Neurospora crassa OR74A: one gene and its partner. The protein of the gene in region 1 binds, or shares a complex with, the protein of each later gene. Links are inferred from orthologs where the notes say so. Each region holds a gene or a part of one and is shown in the gene's direction. Other genes may lie near its edges. The genes, in order: NCU03597 and NCU02232.

The links.
Region 2: NCU03597 (region 1) and NCU02232 share a complex: the UniProt entries of both Schizosaccharomyces pombe proteins name them as parts of the alpha DNA polymerase complex. The link is inferred for Neurospora crassa OR74A from reciprocal best matches to the Schizosaccharomyces pombe genes spb70 and spp1.

Annotation. Positions count from the first base shown.
Region 1 is NC_026505.1:1,789,110-1,796,540, forward strand, and holds NCU03597 (DNA polymerase alpha/primase associated subunit), read left to right. Parts: upstream 1-2,577; 5' UTR 2,578-2,818; coding exon 2,819-3,309; intron 3,310-3,367; coding exon 3,368-4,703; intron 4,704-4,781; coding exon 4,782-4,958; 3' UTR 4,959-5,190; coding exon of another isoform or gene 5,191-6,771; 3' UTR 6,772-6,912; downstream 6,913-7,431. Other genes in the region: NCU03596 (CRAL/TRIO domain-containing protein), read right to left, coding at 624-1,225, 1,279-1,906; NCU03598 (microfibril-associated protein), read right to left, coding at 5,191-6,771. UniProt on the Schizosaccharomyces pombe protein: Accessory subunit of the DNA polymerase alpha complex (also known as the alpha DNA polymerase-primase complex) which plays an essential role in the initiation of DNA synthesis.
Region 2 is NC_026507.1:3,250,065-3,257,134, forward strand, and holds NCU02232 (DNA primase small subunit), read left to right. Parts: upstream 1-3,763; 5' UTR 3,764-3,938; coding exon 3,939-4,354; intron 4,355-4,407; coding exon 4,408-4,608; intron 4,609-4,671; coding exon 4,672-5,785; 3' UTR 5,786-6,125; downstream 6,126-7,070. Other genes in the region: NCU02233 (glycosyl hydrolase), read right to left, coding at 1-1,165, 1,228-1,611; NCU02231 (tRNA (guanine-N(1)-)-methyltransferase), read right to left, coding at 6,176-7,070. UniProt on the Schizosaccharomyces pombe protein: Catalytic subunit of the DNA primase complex and component of the DNA polymerase alpha complex (also known as the alpha DNA polymerase-primase complex - primosome/replisome) which play an essential role in the initiation of DNA synthesis.

The DNA of each region.
Region 1 (7,431 bases):
TTGAACTCGGTACTCTGGCATTACATGAAAAATGGTTCTGTCGTACCTACTTAGTGCCCAGGCTGTTTTCCACTAATGCGTGGCTAGTACTGTACTGGAATATAGTGTATAGATCAACCCTTAAAACTATTTGTTGGCGCGCGAGGTCCCACTGGGTGGCTCACACATGCACCAAAACTTGTTGACTCCATTCACAGCGGCCAAAACAAACCTGTGTCCAGACAATAAAGTAGCCATACAGTCATGAGACTGTAGAGCATGAGGTTATATGGCGAAGCAGCAACCCGTTTCATGTTCCACTGAGTTTTACTAGTGTTTGAAGACTGTCAACCAAGCTTTGGCGTGGTTGTTACTACCTACGTTAGGTGCTCCTTATCAAGCAGTGAGACCGAGTGTTGTTTGATGTAGGGTAGGTACCTCTTAAAACAGTGCCAACCCTTTGTTCAAACTAAACTGATATTATGCTTCGCCTTCTATGATGTCTAACTGACCAGAAACACCCTAATGGCGCCTAGTTTTTCTATAATTGGTATCAAATACACGACAAAATCACCATTCTACTCTTTACCTAAACCCATTGCGACTAACCCCAACACCGTCTATTATACAGCTGAGCGCACCTTTTAAGCAGTGGTCTCTCCGACCTCAGTTGACGCGACAACCTTTGGCTTTTCCTCTTCCTTCTTCTCCTCCACAGGCACCGCCGCCGGTGTGGGCTCTGGAATAGCAGCAGCCTCGGGAGCCGGGGCTGGCGCCTCGTCGTGAGCCTCCGTTGCCACTGGTACGGAAGCAGTAACAGGGGGAGGAGCAAGAGCAGTCTCGGAAGCAAGAGCAGGCTCGGGAGCAAGAATGGTCTCGGGCTCAGCAGCCGGCGCAGGCGCAGATGCGGCAGGAGTGGGCTCAGGAGCAGAGGTGGCAGCGGCAATAGGACCAGCAACGCCAACCTGAGCATGCCCAGTGATGAAATCCTCCAGCTCGCCAATCTGCTGACCACCGGCAACCCAGCGCTGGTACTTGGCCTCCCGCTTCTCGACGCACATCTTCTGCAGGGCGGGCCAGTAGGTGGCATGGTCGTAGTCGAACTCAAGAGAGCCGTTGAACTCGGTCCAGAGCTGCTCGGCGGGGACGTACTTCTTCATGTCCTCGTTGAACTTGAGCTTCTCGCGGGTGTTGGGGTCGATAAAGGGAGTGATGAGTTTGAAGAAGCCGTTGACAATCCAGGGAACTGTGGTTGGTCAGTTTTCTGGGTGTTCGTCAGACATTAAGCATTGCACATACCATTAATAATGAGAGCGCGCCCGAGTCTCTCGGGGTAGTGGTTCTGAAGGATGTTGAGGACTTCGCGAGCCTGACCGATGCCAGGAGCCGTGTTGGACCTGGACTTGCTCGACTTGAAGTTGATGAGCAGAGACAGAGTCTCAACCTGGGGCGGCATAAGGTCGATAACGCGCTCGAGCATGAAGACGAGGTGCTGAACTTGGCGAGGAGAGGCCTCGGTGTTCTGGCGGCCAGGGTTCAGGTAATGGCAGACGCGGCCCTCCTTGTCGTAGCCCAAGATGATCTGCTTGCCGGTCTCGTTTTCGGGCGAGATGTGATCCGCAGTCAACTCCTCGACGCCGTACTCTCTCCTCCACGTGAGCGTGCCCAGGATGCGTTTCTCAGCCTCCTTTTGATTCCATTTTGTTGCGCGCAGAAAGCGGAGGAGACATTCCCGAGTCAACCAGAACTTCTCTCTATCGGTGATGGGACCGGCCTTGCCCTCAGTCGCAGGGACTTCCTTCCAGTTTTTGACTTGTTCGAGCAACCAGTTGTACTTTTCCTCCTGGTCAGCCGTAAGCGCCGCTTGGGGCTTGGGCTGGCTGTCAGGGGTAGGGGAAGCCAGAGGGACCTTGAGGACAGTGGCCATTTTGAGCGAGCGACGTGGTAAAGAATTTGGGAATTAAAGAGAGTAGAGTGAGCAAGATCAGAAAATGCAGGAAAAAACGGAACGAGACGTAGGAGGTTGGCTTAGAAAAAGAAAGTTGAGATACGTTGAAGTGGAAGTGCAGTGGAATTGGACGATGCCATGAGCCCAATCTCAAGCGACCGACGATGTGTCAGCCGCAACCAAACAGATTAGGGGCTTTGATTGCTGGCCTCAGGGCAGATCGCTTCGATGATCACGGAAATTGGCGAATGTCTTTCCGTCTGGACCGAAGCAAAGCCAAGACTTGCTTGGAAGCAAGATGTAGAAGATTTGTATTTCACCATTGAAAATATGTGCTGGCTTGACGGAATTGGTGACAAACCCAACATGTCAATCTTCTCGAGTTTTGATGAAGCAGTGCACCTGCTTGATGGACATTTTGCTGCCCCTGCGTTCACTTTGAAGAGTTTGGACAATCCGTCTGCAACTTGCAAGTACGTCTTAAACTTGCAGCAAAGCGCTTTCCGGATTGTGGAGCTAGGGAAGCCGCCGCGCACCAGCCACAGATCCCCTGAGCTACAGCGCCGCTGCGTCACACCCTCGGGCCACAAGGACCACCCCTGCCAATTGGATTAGCGTGTTTTCGCGTTAATTGATTTCTACGGCGCGGTCAGCACCACAATGGCGCGTCCTGTGAATGTGTAGTGGTGGTTCCCCTCCGTGATCATATTCGTGATACCGAATTGTTTGTTTGTTTGTTTGTTCATTGTGCCACTCAAGCTGCGACCACACAACTCGAACCGCTATTTGTTGCAACTTCAAGTAGGGACGGGACTGCATCGACTAAATCTGTCAAACATCACGAGCACCGAAGAGAAGAACGAGGCGCAAACATCACCTGCCATTGCGATCATGGCCGATCCAGTCGTGGCCGAGCTCAACGAGCGCTTCGGCACTGCCAACACCGAGCTCTCTCCAGATGTCATATATGAGCTCCAGTCGATTATGCGCCTGCACGAACTCGACGTTCAAGACATGTTCTTCAAGTGGGAGTCGTACTGCATCAAGATGGACATGGACCAGCCCAAGATGTCCATGTCCACTGTTCGCAAGTTCAAGCAGGACCTACAAGACACACTAGAACGAGCAAACCGAGCTCAGGCGTTGGAGCAAGTCAAGACCGAAAAGCGACCGGGAGGAACACCAAGGCCAGGAGCGAGGAACAATAGCGATGTGTTTGGTATGCTTGATGGACTCACAACACCGGCAGCTCGACGGGCAGCAAAGCTTGGTTCGGCTAGGAAAACACCAATGGGGACTCCCATCGGCTCCCGCTTGAAGAATGAGCCCGTAAGCTCGCCGATGAAGCTGGAGGCACAACTAGATGCCATGGGCGTGATTCCGTATGTCCAGACCAGTTCCCTGCATACGTACTGTATGTACCTTGCTAACCGTTCCAAGACCATCTTCTTTCAAAGATAGACCAAACGCCGGCGAAGTGATCGAAATCCTCAACGAAAATCTCCCTGCGCCCGAACCACCCATCGCTCCCTTCGGCGAGTCCCGCATCAAACTTACTGCCGCCTCCGATCTGAAGAAATTGGGCTACAAGCCACTAGCAATGAAGCTTTCTGAAGCATCCGAGATCTTGGACGACAGGATAGACGACTTTACAAGTTTGGTTCTGGAACATTACAAGTTGGACGAGTCGGTATTCGGCAGCGCGGCTATGCAGAGTACCACAGAGATCGTGGCAGTCGGGCGTGTCGCCTCTGATACGTCCGAGGGCAAGCTCAACGCCGCTTCCCTCGTGTTAGAAACCTCCAGAAAGTTGGGCGGCGGTTTCCGGGTACCCCTAAACGTCAGCAAGCTCAAGGGTTACCAGTTCTTCCCCGGACAGATCGTCGCACTACGCGGAACCAATACCACGGGGCGTGAGTTCACCGTCAACGAAGTCATACGCATGCCTCTCATGGGCAATGCTGCCTCCACACTAGAGACCATGGCAGCACACCGTGAGAGGCTACGCGGCGGTCCGGACGCCATGGACACCGACGACGAAAACCCCATGCCTCTTAACGTCATCTTTGCCTCTGGCCCCTACACCGCCGACGACAACCTCGACTTCGAGCCCCTCCACACTTTCATCAACGAAGCAGCAGACACCTATGCCGACGCCGTCATCCTCACCGGCCCCTTCATCGACGCCGAGCACCCCCTCATTGCATCAGGCGACTTCGACCTCCCCGAGGAAGCCGTCTACGACCCTGACGCTGCAACTCTGAACACTGTCTTCAAGTATCTCATCTCGCCCGCGCTGAACCGACTCGTGTCCGCCAATCCGCACGTCACCATCCTGCTCGTTCCCTCGGTTCGCGACGTAATCGACCGCCACGTCTCTTGGCCGCAAGACCCCTTCCCCCGCAAGGAGCTCGGCCTGCACAAGAGCATCAAGATCCTTGGCAACCCAATGACGCTCAGCCTCAACGAGACGTTGGTGGGGATCAGCAGTCAGGATGCGCTGTGGGAGCTCAAGCATGAGGAGCTGATTGGCGGCACGGTGGAGGATACCAATGGCTTGTCGAGGGTGGCGAGGTATCTGATCGAGCAGAGGCATTATTTCCCGCTGTTTCCGCCGACGGATCGGACGAAGCTGCCCAAGACGGGGAGACAGGTGATTGATGGGCAGGCTGCGCCGGGCGCCATGCTGGATATCAGTTATTTGAAGTTGGGCGAGATGGTTAATGTGCGTCCGGATGTGTTGATTGTGCCGAGCGCGTTGCCGCCTTTCGCCAAGGTATGTTTTTTTTTTGTTGTGTTGCTGAATTTGCTTTTCATCCTGGGAATGCGTGCAGTTACTGACTTTCTTGTCTAGGTCATTGAAAGTGTGTTGGTCATCAACCCCGGGTATCTATCACAACGCAAGCGAGCCGGTACATATGCCAGGATGACACTGTATCCGCCAAAACTGTCGGAGGCGGATGCTGCGCCAGGTGGGATGCTTGCCCATAGGATCTTTGAGAGGGCAAGAGTCGAGGTCACCAGGATTTAAACTTAATCTCGAAGTTCTGGGTTTGGTAGACATGTCTTGATGATGTGAAAATTTGGAGGTATAAATCTGGTTTCCATGTATTTGTATTCGGCATTGGCATGAGGATAGGTATAACCAGGTGGTTTGGCGTCGGGATGAAAAAGAGTTTGCACATTCACCTTGACGATACAACAGTATTAATGTGAGAAGTTCTTGCATGAGCCGACGAGGCCGCAGGTAGGCAAGACATGGACTACCTAGTATCCACCTTTCTTCGCTTGTCGCTCTCATACCGGTCCCGCTCTCTGGATGGTGACCGTTTCCTCCGCTCGCCGTGGTCGCGATCACGATCACGTCTTGGAGACGGCGACCGGCGCCTCTCCCTGTAATCATCATCCCGACGTCTGTCACGGTCCCGATCCCGATCCCGGTGACGGTCCCTGTCTCCGTCCCTGTCACGGTAACGGTCCCGAGAATGGTCTCTACCACGGTTGCGATCTCTATCGCCTCCCCTATACCGATCCTCACCACGCGGCCTGTCATCACCCCTTGACCTCTCCGGGGCGCTCTTCCGATCACCCAACGGAATGGCATTCGAGCCCTTCGGCCCATCACCACCCCTATCCCTGTACCGATCCCTATGAGAGTCATCAGGCTGGAACCTTTCATCTCCAAACCTGTCAAACTCCCTCCCTGGCCTGTTGTCATGCAGGCGGCCCCACTGTCCCGTATCTTCACTCTTGAGGTCTCTGTACTTGGTGGCGCCCTTTCTTCCCAGCTTGGTCATATCTCTCAGCTGCAGCGCCTTGGGCAACAGCTCCCGGTTCTTAACATCGTCCGCAAACCTCGCGCCCATAATGTCTCGCTTGTCCAGTCCCATCTCCTTGCTCTCATCCTGGTAGAAAGCACCCTTGTGAAAGTACTTTTGCATGTATGCCATCTTGCCTTTGCCCTCTTTCTCTTCCTTCTGCTGCTGCAGGTGTTTTTCATCTTCGGCGCGACGTTCTTCTTCCGTGAGGTTCCGTCGGCGCTCGATCTCTGCGAGTTCCTTCTCCTTGGCTTCGATAGCCTCGCGCTCGCGCCGGACGCGCTTCAGCTCACGCAGTTTCCAGGCAGCGTATTCGGCTTCGGGGTCAATGTCATCCGTGTCGTCGATTTGGTCGTCTTCTGGGTCGGTGTCGTCGTCCCAGTGCTTCTTGCCAGCGGCGCGGGCGGCAAGGTCTTTCTTGATTTGCTCTTCGACAAGCTCGTCGGCGGCGCGGCGGCGGGCTTCTGCGGCAGCTGCTTCGTCTTCTTCGGGTGTCGATTTCTTGTTTGTCGAGGCGGAGTTGGATGCGGTTACTCCAGCTTCGCGGTCGGCCTTTCGAATGAACTTTGGTCGCAGCATCAACCGCCTTGGTGCTTCCTCTTCTTCTTCTGAGCTCTCTTCCTCTTCCGACTCTTCTTCCTCGTTGCCACTTTCCTCTTCCTCTTCGTCTTCCTCCTCTGTCACGAACCCTTCCTCTCTTGCTTTCTGTTCGGCCGCAATGCGCGCCTTCGCAGCTGCCTCCCGTCGCTTTTTCTCTTCTTCTTCGTTGTCTGGGGCGTTGCTGCCTATTCCGGCGGCTTTCAAGTTGATCTTGCCATCGTTGCCACGACTGATGATTCGGCCAGGACCTGCTGCATTGGCAAACTTGGGCGCTGGCGCTTTCCGCGTGGAAGGCTTCTTGGGGGCTTCCTCCTCGTCTTCGGGAACGTTGTCGGATTCGGATTCGGAGTCGACACCGGTGGGCTTGCCGGCGCGGTAGCGCGGTGCCTTGACCGGGTTGGCCGTCATGCTCTTAGCTGGCGGCATGACGGGCGTGGCTGTGGACGTGTAAAGCTGATATCTGGATGGCAATGCAAGGCTGAATGATCAAGTACAGGTGGCGAACCTTAAGGACGGGCGGAATGGCGTTCAAAATGAAATGCTGGGAAATGCAACTTTCATGTCCGGGTGTAATGATGAAATTACAGTGCAACGTCACGTAGTACGATACGTGCAGTAAATTTTGTGACGCGGCAAGTGGACCTCGCAGCGGGTGTGTTTGGTTCCCGCTGCCCGGCAGGGCCACGACCCGCCGTAGCGATCGAATGCCCCGCATGACAGCCCTGTGTGTCTGTGTTCGGGTGTTTTTTGGTCTGTGCTTTCCGACTTGCAGCGACGCGACGAACGGAACACTTAACTCTTAGGACAGGAAGGGGGCTCCAAGACTTACAGAAAGTGCCTATCCAGGTACCTAGAAGGAAGTGAATGATGCCAATTGGAAAAGCAACAAGATATTGAGGAAGGTACATAGCTCAACCAAGACAGGAAGAAAGTCCTGGAAGCAGGGTTGGGGACGAAGCATCCGGCGTGTAGTACCTATTTCCTATGTATATATTGGCCTCCCCAGCTGTTGTTTGGCCCGTTCGTGTTCACCCAATCACTGCAGGCATCCCCGCCTTTCTACCTCTATAAGTTCCCTTCTTCTCC
Region 2 (7,070 bases), on another chromosome or scaffold:
AGTAGTCGCCCGTCTTGTAGGCATTCTTGTCATCCATGTCGTAAGGAATGCCAAACTCGGTCATCACGCATGGGTGATTCCCAATGTAATCAAGACCTTCCTGTCTCATGGTGGCATGTTGGTTCTTGAAGCAATTCCGGATAGCCGTTTCTCCAATCTTGATGCCAAACGCAGGGCTCCAATATTTACCGCGAAGAATCCCTATCACGTCGACATTCCACACTCGGTTCCATTTCTTCGTCATGAGGGTGATGCCGTCGTACCAGTGTGGCGCGTATACGAGCAAAGGGTCATCGCCATCCGGAGTACCAATGATTTTGGGAGGCAGCTCCATCGTGGGTCCCTGAAGAAGGATAATGGCGTTGGGGTGGATCGATCGTATCGTGTCCCGGTATTTACGGAAAAAGTCCATAAAATAGCGGTTACTGAAATACGGGTAGTCGACATGTTCGCCCGTCGCAGGATGCTTGCCAAAGTAGTCCTTTTTGAGCAGGGAGTCGGTGGCTGGATCCCAAACACCGTGTTGAGCCCATATACACTGGCCTAGTTTCCACCCCGGGTCTCTCTTGTAGCCATAGCGAGACTCGTCGTAGTCAGCCGGTAGCCACGCCTGCTCACCACTGGGATCAATGAGCGCCCTTCCAACCTTGTACGGACCCATGCCGCCCATGTCCCACGTATCAACCTCAACCGCCCGACCAGACCCCGTAAGTATGGTTTGCCAGATGGTCGGACATGTCCCCTTCTTCAAGTTTTGTTCCTTGGGTATGACAGAAATATCCTCGTAGGCAATCATTCCCTTGTTCGGCTCATTCAGACTCTCCCAGCCAAACACCACATCGTTCTCAATGTCGCCTGCCTCGTGTATCCGCTGGGCAAGGTGGGCGCAGGCTCTGAGGAAGTGATCCTGTAGGTAGTCCTGGATGTTTACGCCGTCAATGATGCATTTTGGCGCAAAGTCTCGCCCAGCAAAGAACAGTGTGAACATGGTTGCGGCAGCGAGTCGGTAATAGTTTGTCGACCAGATCATCTTGGGAAAGTTGTGGGGTTCTGGGTAGACGTTATGAACAATGGCCGCCTCCGTTGCTGCAAAGCTTTGTGGGTTCAAACCAGCAGCGTATAGCGTCCACATGGGGGCGCCAGAGCCGCCTGAGAAACGAGACCACTGTGGCACACAAATGTTAGCTTCCCAAGCTCAACAACTACACAAGAGAGAAATCCACTTACGACATCCTGGTGAGGATCCATAAAGATATAGAAGCCGTAGCGCTTGGCCACGCGCAGAACGTCAATGGTGTGCTGTATCCATTCCTCGTCGTAGATACCAGGGCCAGCAGCTTCAATGGCCTCCCACGTAAACACATAGCGGATGGTGTTGTATCCAAACCGCTTGAGACGCGAAAAATGGAGGTGGGCTTCTTCCTTGGGAAATGGTCGTCCAGTAAACTTGACGTTGTCGCCATCGAAGAAGTTCTCGCCGACATGGGAAGGCTGCTCGGGTTTGTTGGGATACTTGGCGTCGCCTGCGACATTGATGCCTCGTAGGGTAATCTGTCTCCCGTGGACGTCCCGAAAGGAGCCGTTCTCGATGGTGAGGCGGAAGCCGGCCATGTTGGTGGTGGCAGTGATATGCCTGGTTGGTTGGCGATGTATCAATGATGCACAAGGTAATGGAGAGTCAATATACCAACCAGTATACGGATTAATGGATTATGTGGTAGGTTAAAAGGTCAAGGAAAAGTCAGGAAAAAAAGTTTCGAGTTGGGATGATCGGTCGGTGTTGAGTAGTTCCCGCCTGCTCGTCGTTGATCCCATGTTTTGCCTGCTCGGCTCCATGTCAGTGGTCGACGTTTAGGCCTTCCCGTCCCCAATGACGTCGGGGGTTTAGCGTCGGGGGAACTGGGCGGATACACACGATACGGGGAAGACGGGGGCGTGGGCCAAGGTCCGCCAGCTCAACGATTCCCCATCGCATACACCCCGCCCGTTCGTTAACCAGACTGGTTGAAAGTTTGAGAGAGAGACGGGAATACGGAAGGTATATGGGAATTGGAAGAGAAGGAACTGAAGAGTTGATGTCCGGTAGGAGGGACGAATACCGCAAACGGACCCAACTCGTTCCATCACTTGACAGGATGAGCTAAGTACAGTAATGATCAAAAAATACTGTCACCTCCCCCCACCCTGCATTTGCATCAACCTTCCACCCCGCCATTACTTCTACAACTACCTTTTCTTTAAACCTTTGCAATTCCATCAACTCCCGGCCAAAATAGCTGATCTTGGTCGCCATTTAACCGGAGATGCCCAGAGTATACGAAGGTTTAAAAAAGATTTAAAAGAGCCAGAATGTGCAGCTATAATTGCATCGTGAAATACCGGAGTTTTGTATCGCCAATTCGCCCAGCAATTCGATTGCAGTATTAAAACTATTATCAGAATCTCTAAACACTTCCAAAATTACCACACTCTCAAAGCGCTTCCTAAAAGGGGTAGGAAGGAGAAGTTAACCCCTACAAAAAAGCGATATATCCATCGAATAGTCAAAAAGAGCCCTCGGATAAGTTGGAGAGCCCTTATTAATAAGAGTAGTATCATTGTTACTAAGAATACTATCTAGAAGATTTTAGGGAAGGATTATCGACGAAAATAAATTTCAATAAAGAGGATTCCTCTCTCAAAGGACGATGCCAAAAAAAGATTAGAGCATTCTAAGGAATTTCGCTATCAAAAGGAAGTTTTATTGGAGGTAGGCCTATCTTTTTATCAAATTTTTCTTACCTTACTATTAACTACCAAAATATATAGGGAAGTTATTCTAATAAATATTCTATCTAGAACGCCCCCAATTAGCCCAATAATTCAGTATTTCGACGGCCTTAAAATAAATTTAAACCCGGATTAATTAATTTTAAAGCTTATATTAAAGCTTCTATTATTTTAATAGTTTAGAAGATAATTTAGAAGGGTAGATAATTAAACCTCGTTATTATAAACTGTAATATAACTATAGTAAGGAATAGGTATACTTCTAATTCTTATATCGATGTTTTAGAGTAAGGATTAGCTCCTTATTATCGTCCGGGAACTTTTTTTCTCTAAAATAATGCGAGAATCTATACTTCGAAGTAAACTAAAGATTGGTTGGAAGACTACGGTATCTAGTATATAGCGCATCCTACTCATAGCCCGGATTTAAACCCCATTGAGTACGTTTAGAATAAAATAAAGAGGATATTGAAAAAAGAATTCCCAGAACTCTATTTACTAACGGAGAACGAAGCAAATAAGCGTCGAATTAGAGAAATACTTATTAGCATTTAGAATCGCATCCCTCAAGACTTCATTAACGGCCTTATCAACTTAATGCCCAAACGCCTCGAGGCTTACAGAAGGAATAAAGGCTGGTATACCAAATATTAAATTAGATTCTAGCCTTTCATTTGCAATAAGAATCATTAAAAAATATTAAAGTTTAGTAGTAGAATACACTCTAGAAGGTTGGTATTAAGATATTAATAAATAGGGTGCATTAGGCATTAGGGGGAGGTGACAGTATTTTTTGATCATGAGTTTACCTATTGTCATTAAATGAAGGGTTAGGGTTTAATACCTATCTACTATATAAGGTACACCCCCTCCGGGCCGTCAGTGGACGTTGGAGGTTGCAGTTGTTGTCAGCGTGCACCCCTGCATGCCTGCCCGCCCCTCTGCATGGTCCCCGCTCCACTGCAAGTGCTTTACGCGTACCGCGGTTTTACGACGCGACTATTACTGAATTGAGGTTGTTCCATGAATCGTGAAATCAACACTGGAAAAAAAAGAAAGAAAAAAAGAAAGGCAATCCTTACCCGACCAAACACTCCCAGATATTCACGGAACGATAGGATACTACTCGATTTCAGAAAAAACTATTTTCGTATTCGAGCGCCTTCACAATGCCTCATTCCGAATCACCACCAGAGTCAGAGAACTCGCCGATACCCATGGCCAATGTCGACCAAGAGCAAGAGGATGCCGTTGCTGAGAGCACAACGGCCCAAGTTCCGGAAGCCCAACAGCCAGCAGACGAAGACGTTGACATGGCAGACTCCAATGCAGTCCTATCCGCCCCGACAAATGGCACAACTCATATCTCAGAGTCAAAGGCTGAAAGTCAAGCCGAGACGCCAAACAATCAGGATACCCCAGTACCAGAGGCTGCCACGGGTGCGCCGAGCGAGAGCAAACCGGCAACAGGAGTGAAGCTCGAAGAGCTGTTTGATGAGATGGACTCTGACGATGACGAGTTCCCTACTACCAAGGCAGCAAAGAGGGAGCCAGCAAGCTCGCCCGATCTGCTCTCCTCGCAAAGGTAGCACAACCATGCATTTCAAGCCCAAGACAGCAGAAGCTAACTATGCACAGTGACATGGAGATTGATCTCCACGAAGCCTCAGATCCCGAAGTCATGCGCACATTCTACCAGCGCCTCTTCCCATGGCGATACCTGTTCCAGTGGCTTAACCACAGCCCAACACCCACCAACGATTTCGGCCATCGTGAATTCGCCTTTACGTTGCAGAACGACGCATACCTACGATACCAATCCTTCACCACCTCGGATCTGTGAGTTTGTCTATCCGGTTCCCTTCCAGCTATCCATCTTACTAACCCGACCAACCTGAACAGACTCCGTAAAGATGTCCTCCGCCTCATGCCCTCGCGTTTCGAAATTGGTCCCGTCTACACAGCCAACCCCCGCGATCGCAAAACGCTACGGAACTCGTCAGCTTTCCGGCCCCTGTCCAAGGAACTCTGCTTCGATATCGATCTGACAGACTACGATGACATCCGTACTTGCTGCGACAAAGCCAACATATGCCAAAAGTGCTGGCAATTCATCACCATGGCCATCAAGGTCGTCGACACGGCTCTGCGCGAGGACTTTGGCTTCAAGCACATCATGTGGGTATACTCGGGTCGTCGCGGTGCTCACGCATGGGTATGCGACAAGAGTGCGCGGGCGCTAGACGACCAGAAGCGACGCGCCATCGCCGGCTACCTCGAAGTCATCCGGGGCGGCGCGCAAAGCGGCAAGAAAGTCAACCTCCGCCGGCCGCTGCACCCGCACTTGGTCCGCTCCCTCGACATCCTCAAGCAGCATTTTCAGTCGGACGTGCTTGAGGCCCAAGACCCCTGGCGCACCGAGGACCAGCAAGAGAAGCTCCTCGCCCTTTTACCTTCGGATCAGAAGCAACTCGTGTCCGCCCTGCGCAACAAGTGGGCTTCATCGCCCGACCGGCCGTCCACCCTGAAATGGGCCGACATCGACAGCGTGGCCAAGACGTCCACTGCCAAAAACTTTGACACCAAGTCCCTCCTGGACGCCAAGCAGGATATTGTGCTCGAGTACACGTACCCGCGCCTTGATATCGAAGTGTCCAAGAAACTCAATCATTTGCTCAAGTCTCCCTTTGTCGTGCACCCGGGCACAGGGAGGGTGTGTGTGCCGATTGATGTGAAGAGGGGATTAGAGAGTTTTGATCCGCTGGGGGTGCCGACGGTGCAGAGTCTGATTAGGGAGATTGACGAGTGGAAGAAGCCAGAACCAAAAGAAGGGCGCCAGGAGCAGGAGGTGGAGAAGCATGTGGTGGATTGGGAGAAGACGAGTCTGAAGGGCTATATTGAGTTTTTCAGAAGCTTCGTGATTGGGTTGATGAAGGATGAGAGGGAGGTTAAGGTGAAGAGGGAACGAGAGGAGGAAGGAGGAGGAGGAGGAGGAGGTGAGAGTATGGAGTTTTGATGGGTGGATTGAAAATAAAGTCGGAATAGGGGAAACATAGAAGGCTTGGGTCAAATGTTTGTGCATCTTGTGATGTAAGGGGTCATTGGCGTTGTATGGTAAGGACTGGATATCGTTTGCAGGCCAAGGTTTAGCAGGTCTACGGCTGGCTTGAACATGGGAACATCATGTCCCTTTTTGATAACTGAGAAGGGTATTTGTTTGGCGGCTCAAAATAATTGGGTATATATGCCCTGTGATGCACCCGCCATCCTAAACCATACAACGGCCATCTAATCTGCCACTGGATGTTATGGGGGATCTTCACTGGACTTTTCCTACAGAGCAAAGAGCCGTCATCCACGTCTTCGCATTCGAAGGATTGATTCTGGTGGAGGTGAGACAGCGGTTCTACCCAGACATTTGCACATCTTGTGCTTGCTCTGTCGTCTGGTCTGTGACCTCGGGAGCTGCAGCCTCACCATTGGCTTCTTGGGTGCCGTTCTCCTCCTCTTCATCATCCTCGCCGTTGTCCGCAGCAGGGGTACCACATGACGACTCTGCCTTGAGGGTTCCGCCCTTTCTCTTGGGAATAACGGTCAGGAACGCCTCACCCCAGTCACCGCACTCGAGCCATTTGGCCATGATCTCTACAACCTGGTTTGTCGTGAGGACGTAGCGGCTCTGCATCGCCATATACTCTCCAATTGGCAGTTTGGCCGTCCGCACCTTTGCCGCCTTGGCCCGGCCGTAGCAGAGGCCCTTCTCGCGGTTCCTATCCACCAGGCCGCCAATGACGTAGCACGTGTTCGCTTCTAGCTTGTCCAGGGTGTAGTCAGACTCTGCCGACAGGTAAACAATCGACTGGTTCACATCCTCGGCCTCTTCCTCAGGCTTCGGCTTGGGAGCCGCAGCAGCAGCAGCATCACCACCCTCACCACCCTCCTCCGTCTCCTCGGCTTCCGGCTCAGGAAGCAACAACCCACCATTTCCACTCGGCTTGAGGAGATCAATCATGCCCTCCTTGACATCAGTCTCCTCCATCATACCCTTTGCAACCTCTGCCGCCTGCATAAAGTCGCCCTCGATGCACTTTACGCCGCCCTTCCAGTTCAGGTGCGCGTTCTTCAGCACCCGCTCGAACCGGTCCTTGAGCTTGCCCTTCCACGAGCTGATGACCAGCTGCGCCTGGTACTTGGCCCGGCGGTTCTGCGAGTAGGACCGCACAATCTGCGACGACAGCGACACAATTTCGTTTTCGCGCATGTACTCCTCAAAGTCGCAGTCGATGATGAAGGCCACGGGA